Linked DNA regions of Canis lupus familiaris. The protein of the gene in region 1 interacts with the protein of each later gene in a biochemical or structural test. Links are inferred from orthologs where the notes say so. Each region holds a gene or a part of one and is shown on either strand. Other genes may lie near its edges. The genes, in order: REPS2 and EPN1.

Evidence for each region.
Region 2: the proteins of REPS2 (region 1) and EPN1 form a complex in vitro, tested with the Homo sapiens proteins (3 studies listed by BioGRID and IntAct, with this or other methods). The link is inferred for Canis lupus familiaris from reciprocal best matches to the Homo sapiens genes REPS2 and EPN1.

The regions. Positions count from the first base shown.
Region 1 is NC_049260.1:13,356,167-13,371,272, reverse strand, and holds part of REPS2 (ralBP1-associated Eps domain-containing protein 2), read right to left. Parts: intron 6,812-15,106; coding exon 6,728-6,811; intron 5,629-6,727; coding exon 5,486-5,628; intron 1-5,485. UniProt on the Homo sapiens protein: Involved in ligand-dependent receptor mediated endocytosis of the EGF and insulin receptors as part of the Ral signaling pathway. By controlling growth factor receptors endocytosis may regulate cell survival.
Region 2 is NC_049222.1:102,829,939-102,845,691, reverse strand, and holds the start of EPN1 (epsin-1), read left to right. Parts: upstream 1-5,966; 5' UTR 5,967-6,168; intron 6,169-6,539; exon of another isoform or gene 6,540-6,670; intron 6,671-8,670; exon of another isoform or gene 8,671-8,686; 5' UTR 8,687-8,776; coding exon 8,777-9,004; intron 9,005-13,186; coding exon 13,187-13,436; intron 13,437-14,409; coding exon 14,410-14,534; intron 14,535-14,962; coding exon 14,963-15,037; intron 15,038-15,593; coding exon 15,594-15,677; intron 15,678-15,753. Other genes in the region: U2AF2 (splicing factor U2AF 65 kDa subunit), read left to right, coding at 336-415, 498-620, 886-984, 1,193-1,441, 4,733-4,867. UniProt on the Homo sapiens protein: Binds to membranes enriched in phosphatidylinositol 4,5-bisphosphate (PtdIns(4,5)P2). Modifies membrane curvature and facilitates the formation of clathrin-coated invaginations. Regulates receptor-mediated endocytosis.

The DNA.
Region 1 (15,106 bases):
TACAGAGTATAGTTTTGGGGCACCTGGGTGGCTCTGCCTTCAGCCCAGGTCATGATCCCAGAGTCCTGGCTCTCTGCTCAGTGGGAAGTCTGCTTGCTTCTCCCTTTCCCTCTACCCCTCCCCCTGTTGTATTCTCCTGCTCTCTGTCAAATAAATACATACAATCTTTAAAAAATAATAAAGAGTATGGTTTTGCTACCTCAAGTTGCCTTTTATCATTTGCTACCAAAGGAGTCCTAAATAACACAAAGATAGGATCAAGCCCAGAATACCTCTGAAGGGGTCACCAAAGCATTTAACCTGCCTCACCCTCTTAAGAGTTGCTTCTGGAGTCTGTCTCTTCAGGTTCTCCTAATATTTGTACTGTTTCAGGCTGTACTCTAACCAGCCTGGCTTCCAGGGAGGAAACTGAAGGAGTAACACTTACGTAGACATTTGTTTTGTCTGGCTCTGTTGTGTGTCATGCTATCTATCAATTTAGAACAGCAGCACCATGAGGCACTGTCCACTCAAGGACAGTGGCAGACTGTCCTCCAAAACCTATTCTTGTGCCTTCTTGTTTGCAGTAGCCTAGCATTCTCAGTTTGAGTGAGGTACATGGCCCTCTAACTAGAAATTCCATTTCCCTGTCTTTCTTGCAGGTAGGTAAGGCCATATGACTTAAGTTTGGGCCAAAGCAATCAGAGATGCCACTTCTGAGGCATCCCCTTAAAAATAGCCTGTTTTCTCTCCATTTGTTCCATCCCCACTCCGGGGTCTAGAATGTGAACATGTTAGTGAGCCATCTTCAACCATAAAGATAAAGGCAACCCCCACAGGGATCCAGAATAAGAATACAGGAAAGTACCCGGGTTCATGCACAGAGCTAATCTACACTTTGGGACCACTCACCAACTTAGACTTCTACACAAGAAAGAAGTCAATTTCTATTTTTATCTGAGTGCCTGTTAATTGGGTTTCATTCAAGCAGCTGAACCAATATTTGAAAGAATGTAAACTGGGGTCTCTAGATAAGAAAAATCTTCTTAGCCTTCAACCTGAGCCGCAATTTCTCCCACGGAATTATGAGTACAGCGTCTAAGAAGTGAACTTGTATTACCTTTTCTCTACTTGGAAATAGCAGGTTTTTATTAGGAATGCCACTCATTGACCCTACAGACAATCTGGTACCATTAAGCATGCAGCAGGAAGGAAAACAGAATCCAAGCACACTAAGAACATCATGCAGGCAAGCAGACACTGTCACACTGGCTGCTGGGCATGCTCTGGGGTGGTCCAGGACACTTCCAGAGTTTACAGAAAAGAGCAAAAACCATGGAAGCTGGAACAGCTTCAGTCATAGTACTGTTATACAACACCCTCTCTCTCCAAACTGTTCAAACCATTCTATTTTCCCAAGGTCCATCTATACAAGATGTACAAGACATGAGGGAAAAAAACAAGTAAGTCACATTATTTCTTTTAAAAAAACCATTTTTGGGACACCTAGGCGGCTCAGTGGTTGAGTGTCTGCTTTTGGCTCAGGGTGTGATCCCAGGATCCAGAATCGAGTCCCACATCAGCCTCCTCCCAGGGAGCCTGTTTCTCCCTCTGCTTATGTCTCTGCCTCTCTCTCTGGATCTCTCATGAATAAATAAATAAAATCTTTTTTAAAAAACCACTTTTGTCCTCACAAGCAGCTCAGTAATTATGACACAATCCAAGAGTTGTTTATTAGTTATAATCTGGACTCAGCAGCTCACTTAGAAAAGATTATTTTATTTTTCCTTTGCCCTAAATGGAATAGACAATGATGATATATGAAGAAGAATTTGTTTCTTACAATAGGTCAGTTCTGATGTTCATTTCCCGAAGACCTGATGACCATTTTCCAACTAGTTTATTTTTTTTTTTTTTAAAGATTTTTAATTTATTTATTCATGAGAGAGAGAGAGAGAGAGAGAGAGGCAGAGACACAGGCAGAGGGAGAAGCAGGCTCCATGCACCGGGAGCCTGACGTGGGATTCGATCCCGGGTCTCCAGGATCGCGCCCTGGGCCAAAGGCAGGCGCTAAACCGCTGCGCCACCCAGGGATCCCTAGTTTATTTTTTTTAGCCTTTCTTAACCAGTGTTCTGTTAGACAGTTAAGAAAATTACTTGTCACTCTTTTGTCAATTTCCCCCAAAACAATACACAGTAAATACCACTCTAGATGCATAGGAGAGAGGTTAAGTTCCTACAGACAATGGATGTCTAAGGGCATCAGAGTTTCATTCTTTCCCAGAACCCTGGTTGAGAAAGAACTATACAGACTAACCATCATGTGTCTGGCTGTCTCTCTCTCCAGGGCTTAAGAAAATGATAAATTCTAAGTTGCTCCTTATCACTCCAAAATAAACTAGTCTGGGAATGATAACAAGCTGTATGAAATTCTCTAACCCAAAGCTTACATCCCTGCCATTTACAGCACTACTTGTGTTCCTGGTGATCACTAGCGTCTCTCAGTCTGACACCATGTGGTCACCTAACTAGTGAGAGAGTATCACAATGAGGGACAGTCACTAAACTGGCAAATAAAAGAAAATATCTCCATCAATAAACGATGTGGGGACAACTGGATATCTATATGCAAAAGAATGAAGTTGGGTCCTTTCCTTACCCTATACACAAACATGAACTCAAAATTAACCACATGTTTCGATGTAAGAGCTAAAACTATAAAACCTATAGATGCAAACACAGGAAAAAATCTTCATGAACTTGAGTTAGGCAGTGGTTTCCAAGCCATGACACTAAAGACACAAGTAACAAAAGAAAACAAAATAAACTGGACTTCATCAATATTAAAACTTTAGAGCTGCAAATGACACCATCAAGAAAGTGAAATGACCATCTACAGAATGGGAGAAAACACTTGTAAATCATTTATCTGGCAAGGGATGTGTAATCAGAACAGGTCAAGAATTCCTAACTCAACATAAAAAGATAAATAATCCAAGCAGAAAAGGGCAAAGGATCAAGTAAACATTTCTCCAAAGATAAACAAATGGCCAATAAGCACATGAAAAGATGCTCAACATCATTAGCCATTAGGGAAATGTAAATCAAAAAGATAATGAGATACTCCTTCATACCCACTAGGATGGCTGTAATAATTTTAAAAAATAAATAAATAGCAGCAAGTGTTGACCAAAAATACCAGGAGGAACCAGAACTCTCATATGTTCCTGGTAGGACTGTAAAATGCTGCACCTACCATGGAAAACAGTTTGGCAAGTCCTCAAAATATTAAATATAGAGTGACCATATGACCTAGCAATTCCACTGCTAGGTACATACTCAAGACAAATGAAAATGTAAGCCCACACTAAAACGTGTACACACATAGTATGCCAGCATTATTCTTTACAGCTTTAAAGTGAAAACAACCGGGATCCCTGGGTGGCGCAGCGGTTTGGCGCCTGCCTTTGGCCTGGGGCGCGATCCTGGAGACCCAGGATCGAGTCCCACATCGGGCTCCCGGTGCATGGAGCCTGCTTCTCCCTCTGCCTGTGTCTCTGCCTCTCTCTCTCTCTGTAACTATCATAAATAAATAAAAATTAAAAAAAAATTAAAAAAAAAAAAATAAAGTGAAAACAACCAAAATGTCCATCAAGTAATGAATGAATAAATGTGGTATATCCATACAATGGGACATTATTTAGCAATAAAAAAGAATCAAGTACTGACTCAGGCTACAGCATGGATAAACCTTGAACACATTATGCTAACTAAAAAAAAAAAAAAGCCAGCCACAGAAGACCGTGTGCTGTAGGATTACATTCACATGAAATGGCCACAACAGGCGAACCTAGAGAGACACAGAGTAGATGACTAGCTGCCTGGGACATGGGACAGGAATGGAAAGTGATTGCTAACCCACAGAATTTCGTTTGGGGGCAATGAAAATGTTCTAAAATTAGTTTGTGACAACAGTTGCACAACTTTGTGGAAATACTAAAAACCACTGAATTGCACATGTAAAAGGTGAATTATATTGCTATGTGAATTACATCTGAAGAAAGCTGTTTAAAGGGCACCTGGGTGGCTCAGTGGTTGAGCATCTACCTTCAGCACAGGTCATGATCCCGGGGTTCTGGGATCAAATCTTGTACTGGGCTCCCCAATCTTGTATTGCCTCTCCCCTCTGCCTATGTCTCTGCCTCTCTCTATGTCGCTCATGAAAAAATAAATAAAATCTACAAAAAATGAAAGCTATTTTAAAAACAAACACACAGATAAAGGAAAGGAACAGAAAAAGACCTCTGCATGAGCTCTGCCAGCTGCCCTCCATCCAGCACAGAGGGTGCTGTAGCCATCCCTGACTAACAGTGATGTGAAGCAGAGACCACCGTGGAAAGCCAAGATGGCACATAGAAGCAAGTTTAGCCATCCTTGTCCCTGACATGGATTCATCCCCTAGGCTTGACAGTGACTGAAAGACAGTCAAAGCTCTCAGTGGCCATTAAGGACAAAATATATTTCCTTTATGCATTGATACTGCTAGGGAACTGTCTATTTGGAAGAACTGACACAAAAAACATTATCTGAAGAGTGTTGTATGGATTCATCATGGGGTTTTGGCTTCAGAGGCAAGTCGCGCCCACAGAATCTGTTGCTTCTTTCTCTACAACAGTATAAGCAGGAGAAAACCACAGCAGCCCCTGGGATCTACAAGGCCACTAGAGCAGTGTCAGGGCGTATGTTGAGCATTTATGTTAGTGACCAGGCAAGTTCATTTATGAAGTTATGCACAGCAGCAGGTTTCTGCTCTCAACACTGCTTAATTCCACTACAGAAAAACTGAGGCAAGGGATAGGTTTTCTTAAAACAAAACCCTCTGTAGAAAACTGGTTTGTCAGGAACATTGTTCTCTCAGTTCCTAGCCTTGTCCATGGGTGCCCCCCTCACATAACTGTTACAGCCAGTCACATAGCTATTTTGGAGGCTCCACATGTGACCATCTGTGCTGAGATGATCGACAATAAAAATTTTCGTGGGGAAAAAAAATTTTTTTTCGTGGGGAATAAAAAGAAATCACAAGCCACATGTACTTAAAATTGGGTCTGAGGGTCACAAAGCTAGCCATTTGCCCTGGGGGAGCACCAGAAGGCAAAGAGGAAAAAGGGCCATTTGTATCACTGTCTTCTTCCTAGGAAAACGCGCACCAGCACAAGGAAGCAGGGCAGGAAGGAGAGGAGGAGGAGAAAGGAAGAGAGGGAAATCAAAGCAAACTGCAACAGCACATCTTTGTACTTGCTTGGCCCTTGGCTCAGGTTAGGTTCTAGAGCATAGGTCTCTTCCTGGGTGCCCGGGAAGAGTACCACCACAGAGACAAGAAGGCAAAACTACAACCATAAAATCACACCGTTCTATGGCCATGAGTATAAATGCAAACAGATTTCCAGGTACACACATACAAAAACTGGAAAGCTGGTGTCTGAGTCCCGTGATCTGCCGTACATACTTTTGGACTGCTGCGTGGGGCTTCCCGCTCGCTGCCGACACTGGCCCAACAGTGCTAGGAGGCTCTTGGCTTTCTGTAGCTGAGTTTTCAGGTCGGAACTTCCTTCGGATGGGCTTTGATGGAGGCTGAGAATGTGGTATGTCCTGCAGATTAAATACAAAACAATAAAACCCCGAAGTTCACAACAGAAATGCTCCCTTCATCTTGCCAATGTCCTCATGTTCCTTCTATGCCCATCCTCAGGTCAGGTGTGTGCTCTGTTCAAACTCCACACCTGAGGATGTAAGGTTGACTCATGACTTCACAAGGGGGGGAGGGGAGGATGACACAGGAGGCACACGGGCATCAGATTCCAGGAGCCTTTCTTTTTTTGTTGTTCTTTCCATGCTTGCAGCATATTATTGCTTTTTGCACCTGAAAGGACACAGGTATCAGATTCCAATGGGAACTCCCTTCCTTTTTTAAATGCTATGTGCATTTCACACCACAAGGCTTTTTCTGACTGAAGACAAAGCTCACTCTTGCCTCACTTTGGGGCCTGTGGGAACATGTTGTAAGCTTTGAAGTTTGTGATAGTCTCAGTCACCTCCTCATTCTTCCACTCCCAATTCATACATGAAGTCAAGCTTAAGGGCCACAATGTCTTCTGGAAGGAGACAGCCAGCTGGCTTCCTAGGAGTCCCCTCCTCACTTGTGCTCCCAGGCCCAGGGCCCATGCTCTGATCAGAGGAGGGCCTTAGAAAAACAGGGTGCAGCCAGAAGAGGGTAAGAAGGTAAACAGAGAGCAAAAGTGAGTGGTGCCTTCTGAGTAAGTAATCTGGGACTCAGTGACACCAGTGGGCTAAGGTGAAGATGCCGGGATGCAAGAGGGGACCATGGCACACAGACAAAGGAAGGCAGACTTCCCGGCCCCCACCAGAGGTGCTCCTAGACACTCAGCAACCTGCAGGGTTCTGCCAAAGGCCCTCCCCACCACACCTCCTGAACTTGCCAAAAGCAAAGCCACCATATTTAGCTCAAAGGCTGAAGAGGGAAGTACAAACGGTCAGTGACATCAAGGTCAGGCCCAAGAATCATCAGCACCCTAATCTTCACAAAGAGCCCAAATTATAGGAAAGCTGGATCATTACCATTCAGGTCAGGACACAGACACCAAAGCAAAACAGATTTGCAAATAGAGACAAGAAGCCCAGGGGAGGGGCTCACAGTGCCATCACAGGGGCACCTTCCCGCAGGCCTTACCTTCTTCGTTGGACTACTCTCAGCAACCTGGGAGGGAGCTCTGTTCAGCTGGGGGTGTATTTCAGCCTCAGACACTTGTTCAGACTGTAGCAAAATATCATACAGAAGATAAAAATGCAAAAACATAACCACCTAAATATATAATGAAGAGCACTTAGAAAATGTCACTAAGCGTAAGTGATTTAGACCAACATGCAGCCAAGTGTGGTCAAGTCTGTGGACCCCGGAGAAAATCTTCCCTAGACCCTGCCATTCCCTCCCATGCCCCCTTCCAGTACTGTTCAATATTAGGAAAAGGAGTTGCAGTAATGTCCATAACTAGACACAGGTGTTGCTAAAAACTAATGTTTTACAAGCTCAAACTAAAAAAATAAGGCTTATCGAAAAAAAAAAAGGCTGGGAAATTTGTTAAAATTTTAACCCAAGCACTAACAAAAATAGTAACCATAATAATAAAAAAATTGAAATTTTTAAAAATGTTAAATTCCTAAGAAAAACACTCTAAGAGACATGACTCTTTACCTTAAAAAACACAGGAGTGGGGGAGTCTAATGGAAGGAGTAAACAGAAGGGTTGAGGCTACCAAGTAGTATGGAATCGATGGACAAATGCACAAAGAATGGTGAGGACTGCCTCCAAAGCCCTTTGAGACTGAGCAGGTGCCAAAGAGTCAAGCAGAAGAGTACAGGGAGACTAGATGCCATGTGCTGTTCCCGGTCTCCAAGAGGCTTGCTACACTCAGCTGCTATTAGCCAATAATGCAAAGTGTTAACATGCTGAGAAAAAATGCTCCATATGAACTAATGTGACTTCTTCATTATAGTGACATCAGTCCTCTACCCACAGATTAATATGCATTTCAGAAACACACACTGCAGCACAACAATCATCCTTAACATGTCCATCCTGTTCCTAACCCGGCCTTTTCTAACTCCTTCCAGAGCCTGGCTTCTTTCTTCTTCCACCTCTTCTGTAACAGACAGGGGCATTAAATGTTCCCCTATTTATCGGATTCTTGCTGCCTCTTCTAGTTTTTTCCCAGGCCTCTGCCCAGCACAGCACCCCTGACTATCTTTTTAAAACTCCTGTCCCTGGCATCTGATGAAGCACAATCTCCTACTGGTAATTATTATCTCTCTTTCCTGTTTTGACCCCTCTTATCCCTCAGATGTAGGATTTCTCAAGATTCTGTCTTTGGATCTCCCACCCTATTCCTCCCATCACCATTCATTCTTTTCCACAGCAAGCCCGTCTGCTCCTACATTTGCACTGCCCTAGCTAGAAACCTCAATTCCCTATCACCAGTCCACCTCTTCCAAAGCCATTTTGCAAGCACTCCATATGCCTTATTTCTCATTCCAAGTTTTGCTTATAGCCTTCTCCTTTCCATTAAGGATAACTGTATTGCTACTGTTGTCGATAGTTATCTGAAACACCAAACACGGTGTCACACATTTCTCCAGGTGTTCTGCATAGATGAAAGCATTTCATCATCAGAGCCCTAGGAAGGAATTATTACCCTCATCTAATTGGTGAAGAAACTGAGGATCAAGAAGTTGAAGAACTTACCCAAGATCACACAAACAGCAGAGTCTGAACCCAGGCCTCAGGTTCCAATGTCGGGCTTGTGACCACTATGCTATATAGCCTCAGGTACTCTTGGGACCGAGTGGTACTCATTCAAGAAATATTTATTGACCAGCTACTGCAGGCAGGCCCTGTGCTAGATCTGTTATTCAAGATAAATGATACTTAGACCTTTCTTATAAGAAGCTTGAAGTCTAGCAGAAAAGGCAGAGAAATGATGGGACAAGCATGCTTCAGTGGAATTCAGACTTTGGTGAGGAAGTATGAGGGCCCAGGCCGGGTGGGTGAGCAAAGACTTGAATGAAGGTGATATCACAGCTAAGACCTGAGTGATAAGTAGGGTGCAGCCCAGTGCACAGGGATAGTGAGGAAGGAAGCTCCAGTACCCAGAACACCAATTTAGGATACCATGACAGTAAGAGATCTGTCACCAAGACAGGAACCATGAGAGAAGCAAATGTAAGGGGAGCTCACTTTCAGGCACACTGAGTTTGAAACACTCAGGCAACACCTGTGCAAAGCTATCCAGGAGCCATTCCTTATCAGGAGTATGAGGAATGTAAGTAAGACTTTACCCACCTTCCCTCAGGGTTCTGACAAATAATGTCATACTTTAAGATCTGCAGGCCCAGGGGCACCTGGGTGGCTCAGGAGGTTAAGTGCCCACTCTTGATTTCAGCTCAGCTCATGACCTCAGGGTCCTAAGATCAAGCCCCACAACTGGCTCTTCACTAGGTGTGGAGTCTGCCTGGGATTCTCTCCCTCTCCCTCTGCTCTTACACTCAGTCACTCTTTCACACTCTCTTTCTAGAAAGAAAAGAAAAGAAGAGAAAAAAAGAAAAGAAAGAAAAAAGAAAAGAAAAGAAAGAAAAAAAGAAGAAAAGAAAAGAAAAGAAAGAAAAGAAAAGGAAAAGAAAAGAAAAGAAAAGAAAAGATCCACAGGTCCAATGTCAGCTTTATTAATGGCTGAGTGAGGGCCCAATAAACTCCTGAATGCAGGATTTCCCCTGACCTGTGTGGAAGAACACAACTTGGACTTGATGCCCCTTCTTACCTTCCATCCCCAAATCTATTGCTTGGAACACAAATGTTCTGGCCTCAAGTCTATGCATGCAGCTCTCTGCAGGACCACAGGTATGCACTGACATATCCTGCCAGCTAGTCACAGAGAAAAGGAGTGACTGATTAGTCTCCCCGCCTTTCACCTGCTCAGCTCTCTCCTCCATCATCAGGCAGAGAGAAGCATTTGCCCTAATGCTTCCTTTCCTGGGGAAATGAGCAGTCTCCCTCTCGTGGAAAATACGGGGGAAATAATAAATCAGATTCTCCAACAAAAATAAGGATTCTAAGCACAGCAAAAGTAGTAGACTATCATTATCGTTGCCTCTGCTTTCTTCCCTTAAACATCTCTAAAAATCCAAACAACACTGGAGTGGGAGTTGATAAGGATGAAAAAGCAAGTTGTGAAAAGGGTATGACAATTTTTTTTCCACTTATATGTTTACCTTCCTGAAACTGTATCCAAAGGCCTTGGTTTTCTAGCTCCACCACCGAAAACAAACAGCTCCTCGGTGCTATGTCAGGTGGAATCTAACCACCAACCTCCTTGGGAGGAACATCAAGACCTCCCCTCCCCACCCCATGACTGATTCTAAATGACTCCATCTATTGAACATTCAGAGGAGTGGAATCTTGTGAGGGGCCTGAAGCATGGGAATCACGAAGGTCCTAGAAAGGTAGAGCTTCACTGGAGCCAGACATTATCCCAGAAAAAGAGATGAGCAAAGAAAATGAGCTTTGTGGTAAAAACAAAACTAAACTAAACAAAAAACTAAAGATGAGATTTAGAGGTACAAAAGCCCCTCTTTGCAAGAAACTATTTCACTTTACCTCAGGAAAATAGTGTAAGGCTTAGCAGCTGGAAAGCCAAAAAAGCCTGGGAGATTTCTTTGCTATTTCTACAGACTTTTCTAAGGTAACTAACAACTTGGAGAGAACGATAACCCATGAAACAGGGGGGCCTCAGCAGCTCCCTTTTTCCTCCACATATTAAAATACGAAACAACTCTATCAAGATGGATGATATGCCCTTGCCTGGATTAGAAGCAACCCATAGTGGGCAAAGGCAATCCACTTAAAACATTGAAAATGAAAACAAGACAAAAAATGATGGTCACTTAAATCAGTCTGGTGGAAGTGGGGAATAGGCATATTTGAGAGCTATGTAAACTTGACACTAGCTACATCCTTGGTGATTGATGGTATGTGATAAGTGAAAGGAAAGAACAATGACACATGGAAGCCAGATTTTGATCTTCAACAATGGATAAATGGTTGAGAGGAAAGAGTTTAAAGCAAGAGGAAAAGAAATATGGCAGCATAAAAGCTGAATAAAATTAAGCAGATTCATCACAAGCAGGACTAGAACAACCCACCTCTATCTTCTTATAGCAGTATCTCTCAAATATGAGTTCCAGGGAATATCAGTTCTATGAATTGCCTAGCCAAGGATAGGCTCTGTAAAGAGCCAGATAAATATTTTCAGTTTTACAGGCCATTTGGTCTGTGTGTCTCCAATACAAACGTGCTACACTGCTACTGAGTGCTAAAGCTGCCAAAGACAACAACACAATGGAACATCGGGGTGGCTCAGTTGGTTAAGCATCTGCCTTTGGCTCAGGTCATGATCCCAGGGTCCTGGGATGGAGCCCTGCATTGGGCTTCCTACTCCATATGGAGCCTGCTTCTCCTTCTCCCTCTGCCTGCCGCTCCCCCTGCTTGTTCATTGTCTGGCTCTCTCTCAAATAAAAATCTTTAAAAAAAAAAAAAAAAAAACAGACAACACAATAATGGGTGTGACTGTGTTCCAATAAACTTTATCTACAAAAACACGATGATGGGACAGATTTGGCCTGTGGGCCATAGTTTGTCACGCCTGGCCTAGAGAAAACAGATAAGCTTAGGGAACATGGCATAGCCTATATCCCTTCTTGAAATTCACAGAACACATAGCATATCACACACACTCTGAAATCCTGTGAAGTAAAGGAAGCCATTGCTTTCACTTAACCCAGCAGTTCCCAAAATGATTTGGCTTCAACTTCTTATTTTCATGTAACTCCTATTAATATCTAGCAGAACTATGTTCTGTGGAACACACTTTGGGAAACAATGACCTACCGACTGGGTTTAGAGGAACAAAGGAAAAATATTTCATTTGACTCAAATGCCAAATGCCACATTCCACACCTAATCCTTTGAGAGGAGCATTCTACAGATTGTTTGGCAGATCCAGCTCGGGGGAGCCTCTGCTAGACCCCCTTCCCCAAGCATGTGGAGGCAGGGTAAGGATGGGGTTGCCGCCTGGCAAGAAAGGCCTCCCTTTGTTTCTCATTTCCTCCCTCCTTCCTTGCAACAGCAGCTGTCGCTGCTGCCAACTACTTCTCTACATGAATTTATTTACTGGGCTTCCTTTAAAATCTCCTGGACATGAACACAATAAATTCATTCATTATAATAGTTAAAGTAGATGAACAACACAATACTGATAAATTATGGATTTTTTTAAAGTAGCTTAAAACAACATGCCCCAGATTCCGGTGCCACCCAGGCAGGCTAGCTCTGCAAAGGTCCCATAGCTCCCATCTCAGTCCATGTGCTCATTATTAAACCTCCTACCTGGGGCACTGCAAAAACTGCAGTGGGTCTTTTTCTAGCCTTCAGTTATTTTCCCAGTCTGATCCACCCTGCACACACTAAGGAAATAATTTTGTAAAAGCACCTTCTCTCATCAAAACACTTTCCTCAAAGTCCTTCAATTGGTCCCTAAGGCCTATGGCATAGCACCACAGGCCTTAGGGACACTCAGCCAGTTAAAGATCTTCTATCATCTGGCTCCAATTTGCCTCTGCATCATAACTGCATTAGTTTCCCCATATGGATCCCGCTCCAGGCACGTAAGTATTACCTGAATCTTCAAACAGACCAGAAATTCCTTCCCAACTCAATTCTGTTTGTTCTAGACCTTCTAAGCCCAGTGGTTCCCAAATATAGCTGCACAGGAGAATTATCCAGGGAATTTTTATAAATTACAGACTTTTAGATACTACCCCAGACCTCCCTAATTAGAATCTCCTAGGGGTGGAGCACTAGAAACTTCTATTTTAACAAGCTCCCTGGGTAATTTTTATGTAGCCAGTCCAGACCAACTGTGGACCATAGATGGCCTGAACTCATTTAAGAGATGAAAAAACCAAGTCTCCAAGGTCCTGCTCTGAAAAAGGCCACAGGTGCTGCACGAAAAACTAACTAGGCTTCTTAACTGTTTTCTTGTCCATTTACCATGGAGGAATAGGGGTGTCTGCCATATGGTTTCATAAAATAAATAAATATTTGAAGCTGGGCAAAATCTTCAGCAGTAAGACTTTTGTTTTTAAAAGTCAAATTTGCAGGGTGCCTGGCTGGCTCAGTCGGTGGAACATCCAACTCTTGATCTCAGGGTTTTAAGTTTGAGCCCCACCTTGGGTGTAGAGTTACTTTAAAAAAAATAGGGATCCCTGGGTGGCGCAGCGGTTTGGCGCCTGCCTTTGGCCCAGGGCGCGATCCTGGAGACCCGGGATCGAATCCCACGTCGGGCTCCCGGTACATGGAGCCTGCTTCTCCCTCTGCCTGTGTCTCTGCCTCTCTCTCTCTCTCTCTCTCTCTCTCTCTCTCTCTCTGGCTATCATAAATAAATAAAAATTTTAAAAAATATATAAAAAAATAAAAAATAAAATCTTAAAAAATAAAACCTTAAAAGCAAGGAAGTAAGTGTCAAATTTGCAACAAAAAAAAGGCAGAGGGGAGGGGAAATTAGAGAAAGGTGACCAAGAGGTACAAACTTCCAGTTATAAGATAAATAAGTAGTAGAAATGTAATGCACAGCATGGTGACCATAGCTAACACTGCTGTACAATATATAAGAAAGTTATTAAGAGAGTAAAACCCCAAGAGTTCTCATGACAAGAAGGACACTTTTTCTTTTCTTTTTATTGGTGAGGGGGAGAGGGAGAGAGAGAATCCCAAGCAGTCTCCATGCCCAGCCCAGAGCTTGATGTGGGGCTCGATCTCACAACCCTGAGATCATGACCTGAGCTGAAATCAAGAGTCAGATGCTCAATAGACTGAGCCACCCAGGGGCCCCTTCTTTTCATTTTATCTATATGAGAATATGGATGTTAGCTGAACCTATTGTGGTAATCTTTCACAATATATATAAATCAAACCATCGTGCTGTACGTCTGAAATTTACACAGAGATGTATATTACCTTTCAATAAAATTGGGGAAAAAGGTCAAATATCTTTTTAAAAATTAAGTAGTTTAGGAGTGCCTAGGTGGCTCAGTCGGTTAAGCATCCAACTTACCCCTTTTCCTCTCTTTCTGCCTCTGCCCCTCTCCTCGCTCATGCACACTCCCTCTCCCTCTCAAATAAATAAATAAACCTTTTTTTTCCAAAGAGTAAGTAAGTAGTCTAATTGCAGAACTAATTGCTAAAGGTATGGATAATTGATTAATTTATTTTATAAACTCTGTAATACTCATGCTGACAGATTAGAAAAAGGAACTCCAGTTTTATTTATTACTCAAGAATTCAGGCAGATGCCAAGACTGGGAAACACAAAGGCAGCAGCTAAACTGTAGGCAGATGGGCAGACAATCATGCTTTGGCCTCTAGGGAATCTCCAGCATCCCACTGATATTCTAAAGGTCATTTGGTGCCAACCTTTCACCTGACCTCCATCTCTACTAGGTAAGGGCACATTAGAAAAAACCATGTGGTCACATCCAGCCACAGAAGATGCAGAACCAATGGCCAGCAGCACACTGGCCACAGCAAAGCCCATCATGGCATGCCACAATCAGTTTCAGAGAGAAGTTCCAAAAAAGCTGAATTTCTCTGCAAGAACGATGACCAAAATCCATGACCCAAGTCACCTCTGAGAGACAGAAATGGAGCTGATGTGTAAGCACTTGGAGGGCTCAATGTGTTTTGCTTCACTGTCCTTTCCCATGCCTAAGCTGAATGGAAGCACACAGCAAGTACCCAAATCCATGTGGGGAATGAGCTAGTAAGAATCCAACAGTGTTTTGTGTTTTACTGAACAAGTCAAGAATTCATCCTACAGTAACTGGAGCCCCAGAGCACATCAGTTACAGTGCAGAGGCTCTGGAATCAGTCCAGGATTTGTGCTTGCTTGGTATATAACCAGAGCATGTGCTTAACCTCTCTGAGCCACAGTTTCTTCATCTGCACAAGGGGATAATTCACCTAACTCCTAGCATTTGTAAAGATTAAGCAAAACAGCTGTCTAGAGTGCTAAGCACAGTAACATAGTAGCCACTCAATAATGGCAGCTACTATAATAATTAAGAGTAAATATACAAAAAAAAGAGTAAATATACAGAGGCGCCTGGGTGGCTCAGTGTCCGACTCTTGGTTTCGGCTCAGATCATAATCTCAGGATCATAAGATCGAGCCCCAAGTTGGGGTATTCTATGGGGAGTCTGCTTGAGATTCTCTTTCCCTCTCCCTCTGCCCCTCCCCCTGCTAACGCTCTGTCTCTAAAATAAATAAATTTTTTAAAGAAAAGCGAATAAATATACAATTGGTTTCCCAGGCATAGATTCTGCAACTGCAAAGAGTAGCCAATTCAACATAAAGGACTCTTCCTCTCTTGCCAAAAGATGAAAACCTAGACTGCGAAAGTGCTGACTCCAATTTAGATTATACACAGATCCTATAAAGCAGGCT
Region 2 (15,753 bases), on another chromosome or scaffold:
GGTTGTGATCTGAAAGACGGAGGGGGTGTAGGTGTGTCATCCTGATGTCTTACCAGTAAGGGCGAGTGCTGCCAGGACTTGTGGTTGGCAGGTTTGAGGTGTGGCCCCTTAGTGGGGACCCTCGCTGTGGTGCCACCCTGGTGTCGTGGCACATCCGAAGAAGAGCTGCTAGTGTGAGTCTTAGGGTCTGGATAGGTTTGGGAGACCGTGGTTTTGTCAGCGTTGCTGGGCCACCTTGGCTGATATAATGGGCCAGGCCCTGTGCACACACCCCGGGGTCTTGGTTAAAGACCCTGTGCTGGAAACCAAAGCCTATGTACTCCCCTTCCCCCCAGGAGTTGTGTCCACCGTGGTCCCGGACTCTGCCCACAAGCTGTTCATCGGGGGCTTACCCAATTACCTGAACGACGACCAGGTAGATCCCTCGCCTCCTTCTGGCTTCTCCCCTCCCACTCTTTACCTCAACCAGCCCTGACGGAGTTGCGGCCCTGCCGCAGGTCAAAGAGCTGCTGACGTCGTTTGGGCCTCTCAAGGCCTTCAACCTGGTCAAGGACAGCGCCACAGGGCTCTCCAAGGGCTACGCCTTCTGTGAGTACGTGGACATCAACGTTACGGATCAGGTGAGCCCGGGCCCCTGCCCTGCTGTGTCCACTCCCAAGTCGCCCTCCTGGGGATGGGTGGGAGGAGGCCAGCTTAGGTAGGGTCCTGTGTGGGGGACTGGGCCCCTTCCCCTTGGTTCCGGCTCCTGCCAGGTGCTCACTCTTTGGCCTTTCCTCTCACCACCAGTGCCCAGCTCTGGGGTATTGGGGCTTGGTGGGAGGCGTCAAGTCCTGCACCTGACCCGCACCTTTCTGCTGCACCCCCCCCCTTGTCCTCCGCACACAGGCTATTGCGGGGCTGAATGGGATGCAGCTGGGAGATAAGAAATTGCTCGTGCAGAGGGCAAGTGTGGGAGCCAAGAATGCCACGCTGGTGAGCCCCCCGGCACGTCATCTTCCATTGGCTAGAGGGATACTGGGGAGGGGCGGGGCGGGGTGGCCTGGGGGATGCTGGGAGCAGATCCTCAGAAGCTTCGGCTCCAGCCCTGGCTTTCCTGGGCCTTCAGGGGCGGACGTGATTCTCTGGGTAGGCCTCTGGGGGTTCGGTGTGGCCCTGGCCGTGACAGCCCTGCCCTCCCCCCTTCTCCCCACAGAGCACCATCAACCAGACCCCCGTGACCCTGCAAGTGCCGGGCCTCATGAGCTCCCAGGTACAGATGGGCGGCCACCCAACGGAGGTCCTGTGCCTCATGAACATGGTGCTGCCCGAGGAGCTGCTAGACGATGAGGAGTATGAGGAGATTGTGGAGGATGTGCGAGATGAGTGCAGCAAGTATGGGCTTGTCAAGTCCATTGAGATCCCCCGGCCTGTGGATGGCGTCGAGGTGCCCGGCTGTGGAAAGGTGTGCATGTGTGCATGGGTACACACCAGTGCTATGACTCACATGGGTATAGGGTCCCCCAGGAGTGTGGTCTTGCAGCTGTGCTTCACAGCTTGGCTTTGTCATGTGATCTTACATATGTGGTTCGGTCTTGTCTGTAAGTGGGGAGAAAAGTGCTAAAAACAGAACAGCAGCAAACCCACTCGAGTCTTCTGGGTGCCAGGTACTCCCTGAGCTTAACCTTTGCAACATGAACTCTCATGGCAGCTCTCTTAGCCCTTGCTCAGAGGATGCAGGCCACATGGTCTGATTCCACAGCCCACTGGGTCCTGTCACTTCTGGCACTGTGCTAGGTGTCAGCACCTTGAACCCTTCTTGAGAGGCAGGGAAGAGTGGGTGACTTAGCTTTCCCTAGCCGCTCACCTAGTGATTCAGGCCTTCAAGCAGAACAAGTCCTGGGGCCAGCCTTGTCAAAGACAACATGTGTGATAGTAGCTGGAAAGGGAGTAGAATTGCTCTGCTCTGGATGCTGTTCTTAGACAGGAATAGACACCTCTTAGTCAAGGTTAAGAGTTGATATTAACCAGGCCCAAGTGATAATAGGTTATCCCAGGTAGTAGGGTCCTGAGCAGGGAACCCAATGAACATAGATCTCCTGGGTTATGAGCCTGGTGTGTTTGGGGATGGTGACAAGGCTGGCATAGTCTAAGCAGAGAGCAGTGGGAGATGAGTTCTGAGGTTGGGAGCTGGGGCCTAGTGTGGCAGATCTTGTAGGCCTGTGTGGGTCCTGGAAGAATGTTGGGTGTTCTTGAAGTGAGAAGGAAGCCTTTGAAAGTTCAGGAATGTGGTCTGTTGCCTTGCACATAGAGTTCCTCATAATCAAGTAGGCGTGGACAGGAATTACAGGGAGGTCCAGGTCTTACTCCAGTCCTGCAGAGCTGGGTTCTGCAGGCAGGGAATTCAGAGGGGGGTAGAGGTGGTGGTGGTATGACCTGGAACTTTGGGAACTAACAGCTTATGGTCACTTGGTCGGAAGATGGTGACTTGATGGAAAGTAGCAGCAGAGGATGGAGAGAAGTCAGTCCATGGATTTGAAAGACACGTTACCTGTAAACACCCAGATCCTGGTGGTTGATTTGGGAGGGGGAAGAGGAGTCAAGATGCTCAGATTCCTGGGCTTTGGCAGCTAGGTGGAGATGGCAGGTGAGAAGCAAGGGAGATGAGCAGGTTTGGGGGTGGGGGGTGGGGGTCAGTGTTGGGGAAGAGTGGGCTGTCAGTCTGAGGTCCTGAGACACCTCATTAGAGATGTGTGAAGCAGTGAGGACGGAGCTGCATTCCAGGCATGAGGGAAACATTTCTGATAGAAACAGATGTCATCAACACACTGATCCTCATTTTGGTGTCAGCTGGATAGGATTGCCCAGGGAGCAGTGGAAAGAGAGCCAGGTACCAAGGGACAGGGTTGGGGGGGGGGTGATGAAGGGATGAGCAGCATTTCCTCTCTCTCCTCCCGTGCTCTGCTTCCCAGTCCTCACTGGTGTGGTGTATGTGGTGTGATGGAAGCACCCGCTCCCCTCATGCCTCATGGGCGCTGGGATGGATCCTGGCTCCTGAGGGGCTGAGTCAGTATTTGTGGGAAGGATGAATGGGAAGACCGGCCTGGTGTCGGAGATCCTCCTGTTTTGTTTGTAAACTTTGTCTTTCTTTTCAAACATACATAAAAGTAGAAGTACCACACTGACCTACTATGGTAGGTCACTTTAGTTCCATTGTGGCACATAGAGTAGTATCGTCGTGTCCCATCATCCAGCTTCACTTGTCATTCTTAATTTCCCAACTTCATTTTTCCTGAAATAATTCAACGCATATCTCCTATATTTTATCTCCAATAATCAAGTGTATTGCTTTAGTATCTGAGCTACTAGGATTTGGGGCCTGGTAAGTCTTGCTCTTTGAATTCCGTGCTGTGCACTGTTCGATGTGTGGCCCCATTGCCAGTCTCCACCCTGTAGATGGGGGCTCCTACATGGTAGCACTACACTCCTCCTTTGTGACAGCCTAAAACCTCTCCAGATATTGCAAAATGTTGCTTGGGGACACATTTGTGCTGGTTGAGAACTGCTCTAAACTTTTAACAGAAAACTTTATTTTATTATTTATTTATGATAAGCACACAGTGAGAGAGAGAGAGAGGCAGAGACATAGGTAGAGGGAGAAGCAGGCTCCATGCACTGGGAGCCTGATGTGGGATTCGATCCCGGGTCTCCAGGATCGCGCCCTGGGCCAAAGGCAGGCGCCAAACCGCTGCGCCACCCAGGGATCCCTTTTAACAGAAAACTTCTAAATAATTATAATGAAAGTACAATATCATTGTTACAATAAGAAAATTATTCTTAGGATTTACTTAAATTTGTATTATAATTTCCTTGAGCGTCTCAAATGTCTTTTTATACTTGATCCATTTAAATATCCAAACAAGGATTCATGCAATCTTATTTAGAACTTTCTTAAAACTTAGCAGTTCTATGTAATGCCCCCCCCCCCTTTTTTTTTTTGGTGAGTCATTTTGTTGAAGCAACAGGGCATTTGTCTTACAGAATTGTCATGTTGTGAATTAGGTTGGTATCTTCCCCCTCACCCACTCCCTGTAAACCGGTTTTTTTTTTTTTTTTTTTTTTTTTTAACTGGTGTTTTTTTGTGTTTTTGGTTTTAAGATTTTATTTATTCATTCATGAGAGACAGGCAGAGACATAGGCAGAGGGAGAAGTAGGCTCCATGCAGGAAGTCCGATGTGGGACTTGGTCCCTGGACTCCAGGATCACACCCTGAGCCAAAGACAGACGCTCAACCACTGGGCCACCCAGGCATCCCCTAAACTGGTGGTGTAAACAAGATGAGATACTTGACCGGATCAGTGTTTTTATTTTTTTTGTTGTTGTTGTTGTTTCTTGCTTTGAGTCAACTTGGGTTTGAATCCTAATTTCTGAGCTTTCTTTGTCTGTCTCTGGGGAGAACCTGGCCCTTGGGGAAGCTTTGGGGAGGGAGGAGCACCGGCAGGGCGGGTGGAGCTCGTTGCCGTGGGTGTGGCTCTGGGCTCCAGTCACGCTCTGATGCCTCCCCTGAGCTCTGCTCTGTGCGCTCTGTTCTTTGATCCTGGGATTCGAGAGTACATTTGGGTAAATGCTCGCAGATCTGCAGGAAGGCCCGCTGCCTCCCTCTGTCTGTCTTGCAGAGTTGTGGGTTCTGTGCAGGCTAGCTGGTTGCTGGGGCTGAGGCCACCTTGCTTTTACCACTTGCCTCTTACTCCCGCAGATCTTCGTGGAGTTCACCTCTGTGTTTGACTGCCAGAAAGCCATGCAGGGCCTGACCGGTCGCAAGTTCGCCAACAGAGTGGTTGTCACAAAATACTGTGACCCCGACTCTTACCACCGCCGGGACTTCTGGTAGAGGTGGAGGGGGAGGGTGGGGGAAGGGCTGGCTGGGGGTGTCTCCCCCTCCACCCCCCCTTTTCCCCCTCTGAAGAAGATGGGCAGAGGAGTGACAGCCGAACGACAGCCGACAGCCGGCAGCAACTGGAATGGCAGCGATCGGGGCGGGGAGGGCAATGGGGAAGTGTGCGCACAGGCCCACACACATGCACCCACAGACACAGAGGGAAGGGGGGCGGGGAGGGGGTGCACAGCAGGGCGGGTAGGACCCCCATGGCCCCTCCCCAGAACAGCCTCTCCTCCCTCTCCTACCCGCCCCCGTCCCCACTGTAGAAACATAAGTGTGTTTATATTTTATGGCCAAACTATTTTGAATTCTGTTGTCCACACTCCCCCGTGCCCTGCCTTATCCCTCCAGGACCACAGCTCCCGTCCTCCTGGCCTCCGGTCCTACCCCCGTGCGCCCCCCCCCCCTCCTGTGCCCTCCCTGGTTTCTTACGTAGTTGACTCTCCTCTCTAGTCTCCCTGACCTGCGGCCCCCGTTTCCTCTCTGTGGCAGTTTCATATTTGCTAAGACGAATTTGCTCATTAAACATTTTGTTGTATTTTACTTTATGGGCCTGCTCGGTGTCCAGTGTGTATGAGTCCCCCAGTCTCTGACCTCTCCCCTCGCGCCCTTGGCGCGCCCTCGGGGCACACCCTGCCAGCGTGGCCGCTTGCTCAGGCCGAAGGGGGGGGGCGTGGCGGCAGGCTAGTTCGCGCGGTGGAGAGGCGGTGTTGGCGACGCCAGTTCCCCAAAGCGCCGCAAGGTGCAGAGGGCGGCGTGGCCGCGTGAGCTGGCGACTACACAGTCCCTTCCCCGCCTCCTTCGGCCGCGCTGGCCGGCCCTCATCCTTCTAATAAGGCCTGCTCTCCGAGGTTGACCCCTGGGTTTTGCTGGGGCGCCTGCGCGCCGGAAGTGACGCTGAGCGGGGGGGTAGGGCCGCGGAAGTGGCGGCTGCGTAGGCTCCTTGCGGGCTAGTACGCCGGGTGCTGCGCAGAGGGAGGAGCGCGTCGCCACTTCCGCTTCCGGTCCGTCGCCTCCGGTTGCTTCCCGTCCGCTCAGCGGCTCCCCTCCCCCGCCCGGCTCTCTGCGCCCCTCCCGGGCGCCGGGGCGGCGGGGCCGTCGGCGTGCGGCCCACTCCGTGCTTCCGTCCGTGCACCTGAGTGCGCCTGTGCGTCCGCCGCTCGCGGCCAGGCGCGCGCCCCGCGACACCGAGGCCGAGCGGGGGCAGGGGGTTGCCCGCCATGACCCCCCGGAGCCCGGCGTGAGGGGCCGAGGTGAGCGCGGTCCAGGGGCGCAGCGGGCTGAGGGCGCTCGGGCGTCCGTCGCGTGTGGCCCATTGGCTCAGCCCCGCGGCCTTTGTGTGTGTGCGGCCAGCCGGCCTCGGGTGTCCGCCGGCCTGCGCCCTGGCCTCGGTTGCTGCGGGCGTCGCTGTCCGCTGGGATCCGCGCGCGGCGCTAGGGGTGACGGCCGGGCTTCGTGTCTGCAGTTCCCGGGTCTCGGGGCTTACCTGTCGCCTGTTTCCCATTCATTGCCGTCCTCGCGCTCCTCCTTGCAGCCCCGGGCCCCCCTGTGCCCTCCCGCGGGTTCTCGGGAGCCGAGCTCCGCGAGCAGGCCCCATCCGTGCTCGCCGGCCTGTGGTATATCTGGGGTGACACCCAGGCCCCCTCGCCCGCCAGGTCGGGGCTGTGGGTGTGCACGGACGTGGCCCTGCGGTCCGCCGCCTGGAGCTCTGGATTCCATGATTGCTCACAGATCCCGACCCGCGCTCTGTGTTCTGTGAGTCCTTTGAACGCCCCTCGCAGGATTTGCCCTCGCATTTGTCCTCCGTCTGATCTGATAACCTTTCTTTGAATCCGTTTATTTTGGAAAACTTGGTCCCATCCTAAGCAGTACCTGAAATCTTAGCTGTGTGATGCCCTGACGTTTTTTCTAACGCACTTTCCTACAATTGCACTTAGAATGGAGCATCTTCCATTACCACACTTTTGGAAATGCTCTTTGCTTTTGGTAGTGACTGGCAGGCAGCGTTATTGAGGTCCCACTATGTGTGGGACAGGGAGCTAAGCACTGTATGTACCCATCGTATGTAATCACCAGGCCTGCCAGGTAGGAATTCTTTGCTGTGTGTCAGAGTCGTGCAGACTGGCTCCTGTTGGTAGCTCACAGCCAGAGTTTGGGTCCAAGCTTTGTGTGTTCTGTACCATGTTTTTCTCCTGTAAATTTGCAGTGCCAGGTTGCTATCCTTTCGTTCTGGGTCTCTGTGTTTGCTCTGTGTCGTCTGCCACGTGTCTGTCTCCTTTGGCTTCAGCTTGCTGTGTCTCCTCCGTCCAGGTTTCTTGACGCCTCTTTCTCCACTTGTTTGTCTTGTTCCTGTTCCTCTGCATCCTCTGTGTTGGTCCCCTCAGCTCTTCACCTCAGTGTTTCCGGCTGGCCTGCTCGGCCCCCTGACTGTGTGTGTCTTTGTGTGTGTCTCAATGCCTGAGTTCAGAGCTGGGGCTGGCTGCCTGTCCCAGGATGTAGGCGGGTTGTGGGAGGCTCGTCGGCATAGATGTGGACTGTGGTTGTCAGAGTCCACTCTGGAGCCAGGGAAAGGCGGCTCTTGCTGTGCCTCAGTTCCCTACCCTGTGAGATGCTGTGAATCATGGAGTTGGGAGGATTAGTTGAGTCACTGTGCATAAAGCACGGGGCAGAATGCCTGGCCCAGAGTAGGGTCATGTCACTGCTTGCTGTCACGGTCACTGTCTGCCTGCTTCCCAGCCTTCTCTTTCTTCCGTTGCCTTCGTTCCAGCACCAGTTAGTTTAAAAGTGTAAGTTTTGGTGTCCAAGCAGCCAGAGGTTGAGTCTGCTGCTGTGCTGGGTGTGACCTTGGCTGAGTTGTTAAGCCTCCATGAACCCTTGTCTTCTCGTCAGTTAGAATGAGGCTGGTGGCATTGGATGAGATAATGGTCATCTTTTGGTCCAGGAGTGCCTGGCATGCTGCAGGGACCTAGGCAGCAGCCATGCTCATCCTTATCTCTCCTCCCTGAACCTCCAGCTTTCCCACCCTTGGGACGCCTCGTACCCCTGGCATTCCCCGCCTCTCGCCTCTTTGTTCCTTTCTGGTCTCCTCTCCATGTGTCCTTGTGTCTGCCTCAGGGTCTGTCCTGTCCACTCCTGCTCTGGAGGTTTTCCCTGCCCTCCCTCCTTCCAGCTCTTCTGAGTCAGCTGCTCTGTTTGGAAAAGTCACATCCATGTAGACGTGGTGTCTGTCCCCCTGGAGTTCAAGGGTCGACTGTAGCTACAGAGTTGGACTAGTATAAAGTCACGAGGGTGGCACAGTCTGCCTCTGGAGCCCCTGGGCAACAATGACCATGGTGTTTGGGTGTGAAATTTGGGAATCTTACGCGGAGCTCTTGGGAGTGACCTGGGCAGTGAGGGAGAGGAAGAGCAGGGTGTTCATCTCGTGTTCACAGCATACTTCCTATCCACTGGGTTACGGGATAAAACCCCACTTGTTAGAGCGGAAAATGGAAATGCCAGAGTTCCTGGCCCACCCAAGGCAGGTGGCCGGGATGTGCCTAGCTGAGGTGTCCCAACCTGTGATCCTCTGTGGTACATTCTGCCTCGCTGAGCAGCACCCCCAAGCAGGAAGGAGCTGGGCATGTTTGAGGAACTGAAAGGTAGACTGCCTAAGTCAGGGGTTAACAGAAGCCAGAAGCTTCTAGGCCCCAGGGGCAGCGGGGAGCCCCAGGAGGGTGTGCACCAGCCAGCCCCAGGTCCCACTTGTGTTTCCAAAGGGTCTTTCCTCCTCAGATGCGGTGACCCAGCAGCCCCTGCCGCTGTCTGCTTCTTCGAGCTTCCTCCTCTCACTACACCCCAAGGGGCTCGCCACCACCTGCCACCATGTCGACCTCGTCCCTGCGGCGCCAGATGAAAAACATAGTCCACAACTACTCGGAGGCCGAGATCAAGGTCCGAGAAGCCACAAGCAACGACCCCTGGGGCCCATCCAGCTCCCTAATGTCTGAGATCGCGGACCTCACTTACAACGTCGTTGCTTTCTCTGAGATCATGAGCATGATCTGGAAGCGGCTCAATGACCATGGCAAGAACTGGCGGCACGTCTACAAGGTCAGTGCCCGGGCTGCAGCGGGCTTCACGTGCACACGTCTTCATGGGCAGGTGCGGGGCTCTGCTGGGAGTGCCATCAGGTCCAGCCTTCCCAGTTTGCAGGAGAAGCTGGAGTACTAGGTCTTCACGTGAAATCTCTCTCCTTTTGTTCCTCTTCTCATTTAACAAGGGCAACAAACACAAGGGTTTAAGATTTTGAGGCCTGTGACTTAAATTCACTTTGAAAACAGCGCATTCACAAGATTCATCCACATAGAGGGTCGAAGCAGGTGCATGGTGTTCGTCCTTCTGTGCACACACAGCCCTGGTCCCTCTTGGGGCAGCTGGTGTCCTCAGCTTGTGTGTGGTCTTCCAGGATGACCCGTGTGTGCGCGTCCCCAGGCACCAGGGAATTTGGGGGCCGTGGTACCATCCTGTATCAGAACACAGAAGTGCACATGAAAACCGGTGGATTTGATCACATCTAAGCTGTACCCCAGTTCTAAAAAAAAAAAAAAAAAGATGAGTTTAAATATTACAGATGGTTTCACATCAGAATATAGCAGATTTGTTACCTTTTTTCCTTTCTCTCTCCTGTCACCTGCTAGTTACCCAATGATGAATTTTTAAGTGGTCTGTGATGTATTGCTTCTATGAACAGGACTGCCATGGATATCCTTGTATGTTTGTCATTCTCTAGAAGTGGAAGTTCTGGGTCGAGGGGCGCATGCCTGTGTCATTTTGGTAAATGTAGGTAGAGTGCCCCTCAGAGAGTCTGTTGACTGGTCCCCAGTGACACGTGCATGTGTCCTCTTTCAGTGAACAGACAAGACCATGGGTGGTGGTCAAAGGGAACATGTCTTTGGGCAATGCTCAGTGAGATGGTTTCCTGTCTTCTATCCTGGGGCCTGGTGTCCTCCCCTTGGGTTGGGAATTGGCATTGGGCATGGGCTGGGGCAGGTGCCCAGGTCCCACTCCTGGCTGTGTGGCTCAGAGCGGCCTGTGGACCTCCTTCCATGTGAGGGTCTGGCTGCTGGGGGTGGAGCTGGTGTGAGGTGCAGCAGTGTCAGGGAGTCCTCTTGCTGCCGACGCCTTTGAATGTTGGTTGAGGGCCTACTCTTTATGGCCACGGACCAGGCAGATGAAGCCCCAGACCCATGGACTCCAGCAGGGGCCTGTGTTGTCCACGCTCTGTCCTGTTCCTGAGACCTGAAAATGCTCTGGCTCATTTGTATGCCCATCTCAACAAACCTGGGGTGGGTCCTCATTTCCACAGAGTCTGTGCTGCCTCAATTATTTGGCTCTTTGTTGTGAAGGACTGGGTGGTGTTTGTGTAGCTGAGAATCAGGGAAAAGGTGGGGAGTCTGGATGAGCCTTCGTGTGGAGGTAAAGGGAGGGGACAGGACTGGGAGGGCCTCTTGAAACCTTGAGAGCAGCTTGGTGGGGCTCATGGACCGTGTGGTAGGGAGATGAGCCCTATGGGGCTCTGCTCTGCTGGAGACATGCTGCTGTGGGCACAGAACCCCCGTGAAGTACATTTTTTGGTCCCTCTTAGGAGGGGACACTGAGGCACAAGGAGGGCAGGGGGTGGGAGAGGAGCCCCATTCTCCTAGCTCAGTTGTGTCACCTCCTGCTTCAAGGACTTAGCGGTCTCAAGTTTTTTTTTGTTTTTTTGTTTTTAAGATTTTATTTACTTATGAGAGAGAGAGAGAGAGAGGCAGAGACACAGGCAGAGGGAGAAGCAGGCTCCATGCAGGGACCCTGATGCGGGACTCAATCCCGGGTCTCCAGGATCACGCCCTGGGCCAAAGGTGGTGCTGAACCGCTGAGCCATCGGGGATGCCCCAAGTTTTGTTTCTTAAACCGAGGTCAACACGCTATGGCCTGTGGGCCAAAGCTGGCCTACCACCTGTGTTCGTAGGTAAAGTTCTGTCGGTGCGGACAGGCCTGTGCGTCTGCGGCTGTGTCCTCTGTCACATGGAGCTGAGGGGTCAGCACAGGGGCCGTGTGGCCTGAAAAGCTGGGCTATTGATCACCTGGGCCTTTTAGAAGAAGGTTGCGGTCCCTGTTTTAGACTGACTCCCATATGCCAATGTTGTTCCACCTCTGAGCAAGTGGTTTTGAAAATTAACAGAGGCTGTTGGGTTGTCCCGCTGCTTGCTTTTGAGAAAATGTTCACTTTTGCTGTTGCGGCACCCATCTTGAGCATACAGCCTGATCTGCTCTCTTGCGTGCACACACCTGTGTAGCCAGCACCCAGATGGAGACAGAGGGTGTCCCTGGCTCCCCCAGGCTTGCTCAGCACACCCCTCCCCCAGAAGCATCCTACCCTGCCTTCTGTCTGCCAAGCTCGTTCTAGAACTTTCCATGGGCTCATGCACATGGTTCTTTGTGTCTGCTTAGGTTGGTCCCTGCCACATCTGGGAGGTTTCTTTACATTATCTTGCTGCGTGTGCTGCTCGCATCACATGAGCACACTGCCTCATACATGTGCATTTGACTCTTGGTGGGTGTTTGGGTTATTTCCGGGTTCACTGTCTATTTAACTGTACTTCGAAAGTTTCCAGAGCCCTGGAAACGAGTTCTTATAATTTTTTGGGTGGGAGTCCCATCCTGGACTGAGGCAAGGTTTATCTGGGATCTGTTGGTCTCACATAGTTTAACTGTTGGTCTGACCTGCTGGGAGACTGGTGTGTGATGTGTGCTATGTGCTGCCCTTCTAGTCCGAGCACAGCTGGCCCAGGACTGGTGGAGCCTGCCTGCCTTCTAGCCCAGGTGTGACTGGCAGCATGATTGCTTCTTTCCTTTCCACTGTAATGCATAAACACCCCAAGGGCTGGTTAAAGACTAATCTGTGATTACAGGCACACACCTTCAGGAAGCCTGCCAGATCCAGGCCTGGCTCCCGTGGGTGGCAGGGAGTTAGTGCTGACCCACAGCAGGGCTCCCTGGCAGGTCCTGCAACTGCTGAGCCAGCTCAGCTGAATCAGCCAGGTCCTCCCTTTGTGTCACCTTGTTCTGGGGCGCACACTGAGGTGCACCCTTGTCTGCGGCCTTGTGGATTTTTTTCTCACGTGTGTCTCTGTGCGTGTGTTTAAGATTTTATTTATTCATGTGAGAAAGAAAAAGAAAGAGTGCGGGTATGCGTGCGCACAAGCTTGAGAGACAGAGGCAGAGGGAGAATCAGGCTCTCCACTGAGCAGGGAGCCCGATCCTGGACTCAATCCTTGGACTCTAGGATTTGACCTGAGCTGAAGGGAAATGCTTAACTGACTGAGCCATTCAGACACCCTCTCATTTGATTTCAACTTGTTGAAAAGAGACTTTGTTCTCCTGTCCTAAAACACAAAAGCTATCACAAGGTGCTCCTGCGTCCCTGTCCTCTTGTTCCTCCTGTTCCCAGGACACACATGTCCCCTACAGAGAGCCAGGATCTCAACCACCCCTGCAGGCTCGGCACCTCCCTCCAGACTCCCAATTCGGGTAAGGGAGTTGCCTCCCTGTCATCCTCAGAGTGGGAAAGTCTTAAATTGGAGGTGGTGACACTTCCCAGGTGTACAGGACGGTAGGGGAAGCAGCTCCATTCCTGTGTCTTGGGTGCCTTGAGTGTTGTTTAACAGGCATGTCTCTTTGGCTGTCTTACTTTGGGTTTTCCTTTTAGAGAAATAGAGCGGGGTCTGCACCCCTCAGGGAAGCCCAGGTGGGGCTGCAGTGACCACACCTGTTATTTCCCTACTTATGTCTTTTTATCGAGACACATGTAGATGCCATGCCGTATGAGTCACCCTCATAAAGCGCGCAGTGCCGTGGCATCGAGCACGTTCCCAGGGTGGGCAGCTGTCCCCGCCGCCCTGGTTTAGTGTATTTCTGTCATCCTGAACACAAACCCCTTCCCATTAAGAGTCACCCAGCCCCTGGCAGCCATGAACCTCCTTCCTTCGTGGATGTGCCTGAGGATGTCTCACGTGAGCACAATCGTGGGCCGTGTGTGCTCTGGCATCTGGTTACTTACACTCAGCATGTCTTCAGGGTCTGCAGGTGGCAGCACACAGCTGTGCTTCGTCCTTTCTTATGCCCAGGTAGTGCCTGCTGTGCTGATGGGCCACGTCTGTTTCTCCACCTGCTGATATTATGTGGGTTGGTTATGTGGGACTGGGATCCTGGCTGCCTCGTGAGTGACTGGTGTGCCCCCCTGCCCCGAAGGCCATGACCCTGATGGAGTACCTCATCAAGACCGGCTCGGAGCGTGTGTCTCAGCAGTGCAAGGAGAACATGTATGCTGTGCAAACGCTGAAGGACTTCCAGTATGTGGACCGTGATGGCAAGGACCAGGGTGTGAACGTGCGTGAGAAGGCCAAACAGCTGGTAGCCCTGCTGCGTGATGAGGACCGGCTGCGAGAGGAGCGTGCCCATGCGCTCAAGACCAAAGAGAAGCTGGCACAGACTGCCACTGGTGAGGCCTGCTGCCCCCAGGAGGTCCAGCCCAGCCTCCTCCACCCCGGCTTTCTCAAATACCCTGGTGGCCAAGGGTCTGGGCTGCCTCCTTGCCAGGTGCCTTGTGTCCAGGTGCTGAGCCCTCTTGCTCCCCTCCTTCCGAGCCAGGTGGGCTAGAGTTCAGCTTTAGGCTATCCCCTCACAGGAGGGTCCTTCCCTGTCCCTTCCCCCACACTGTGGGACTCGAGAGCTGAGAAGTGTTCTGTTCACCCCCAAATGTTGACCAAGAGCCACTTGAGGGCCCAGGTATGTCCCTGCCCTCCACCCAGGCCCTGGAGCTGCCATATGGTGCTCCCTTGGTCCTGCTGGGGGGCTGCCCAAGGTCAGAGATTAGTGACAGCTCTCTGAGGAGGGCCAGCTGGGAGGAGAAGGTGGGCGTGTCCCCCAAGCTTAGCTGGTTCTTTACCTGTTAGGCCCTGTGCCCCATTCATCCCTCCTTGCAAGTGGTCACCTCCTTCTCATTCTCTGTCCCTCCTTCCCTTTCCTCCTGCCAGTCACCTCTTGTGTCAGTCACACCCAGGATGGGGTTGGGGGCTGAGGATGCTGGTACCGTCCTTCCCCTAATGCCAGCTGGTCCCTGCCACACAGTTCTCCACTAGCTCTGAAAATGCAGGCCCTGGACATGCTGGGAGCTTTGTGGGACCAGGGATGAAGGACCTGTGTCCCCATGGGCTCTGTACCAGGCCCCAGGCATACAGTGTGGGAACTCCGGTCATGGGCTCTGAGGCTCCCAAGCTTCCTCCCTCACCTGGTGGACTTGTGGTTTTGGGCCAGCAGGGCTGTCCTTCCTTGACCCCCGTCCCTCATCTCCAGGGGGTGCTGGACAAACCTGGCTCACCAACCTGCCCCCACTCCCAGTGGAAGCCCAATGTTGGGGCTACAGGGTCCCCTTCTTTTTTTCCACCTGTGTCAGTTGCTTTTTGCCACTGCAGCCTCCTCAGCAGCGGTGGGCTCCGGGCCCCCACCCGAGGCAGAACAGGCGTGGCCACAGAGTAGCGGGGAGGAGGAGCTGCAGCTCCAGCTAGCCCTGGCCATGAGCAAGGAGGAGGCTGACCAGGTACTGGCCTGGGTGGGTGTGACGGGCGCGGCAGGGCGTTTTGACTTTGGTTCTGCCATCCCATCTCCATCCCTCACCCCTCAGCTCCTAAGGGCCTGTGCTCTGTCTCCCCCTCCCCCACCTCTCTTGCTTGTCGACTGTCCCTCCCTCCCTGCTTCATTCTGTCTCTCCCTCCCCTTGCCCCCCTCCCCTTGCCTTCCTCTCTCCTCGTCCTGGGCATTCTTGTCCCTTCTCTCAGGGATGCCTGTCCCTCACAGCTCTTGTCCCATGCTTGTCTCTCTGTGTGTGACTATGTCTGCGGCTCTGTCCATCCCTGGCTCTCCTCTGTTGTTCTGTGTGTGTGTCTGTCTTTTCTCTTCTCCTTCCCCCTCCCTCTCTCTCCCCATCTTGTGTCCCGCCCCGGCCCCTTCATACTCTCTCTCCCCCAGCCCCCGTCCTGCGGCCCCGAGGACGACGTCCAGCTCCAGCTGGCCCTTAGTTTGAGCCGAGAGGAGCACGACAAGGTCAGAGCAGCCTCCCTACCCTTCCCAGGGCTCCCCTCAGACCTTCCTCAGGTCCCTGCCTCCTTGCCCCTCCCTGCTGCCCCCTCCAGCCCTGTCCCTAGTGTGCACAAATTTGCCTCAGCATTTCCAGCTATGGGACCTGTGTCACATGGGTCCTCAGTTGGGTCCTCAGGTGGGTGCAGTCCCAGTACGGGAAGCAGGTGCCTTTTAGCTGCTCTCGGTGGCAAGGGAGCCCTTTCCTCGCCCTCCGCCACGGTCCAAGGCTTGGTCCTCTCCAACCAGCAGCAGTCAGGCATCTGGTGGGAGGGCCCATCTTCCCCTGGGCCACACGCTTCCCAGGCCTGTCAGAGCAGTGCCAAGCCAGGCCCACCTCCCGCACACCATCCCTACATCCCCGTTCCCCCAGACCACACGTTCTTCCCCATCCCCTTCTTCTCACACATTGTCCACATCCCATTTTAATTTTGTCACTTTTGTCTGTGGGGGAGAGGGTTCTTGGGCCCCAGTTGCTCGCATTCTTAGCCGCCTTCGCTGCCTGCTTTCATGACCCAAACAGGAAGAGCGGATCCGCCGCGGGGATGACCTGAGGCTGCAGATGGCTATAGAGGAGAGCAGGAGGGAGACCGGTGGCCAGGAGGAGGTGAGCATGGGCAGGGGCCTGGGACAGGGTGTCAGGGTGGCAGCGGCAGCAAGTAACCATCTTCTTGTGGACACGT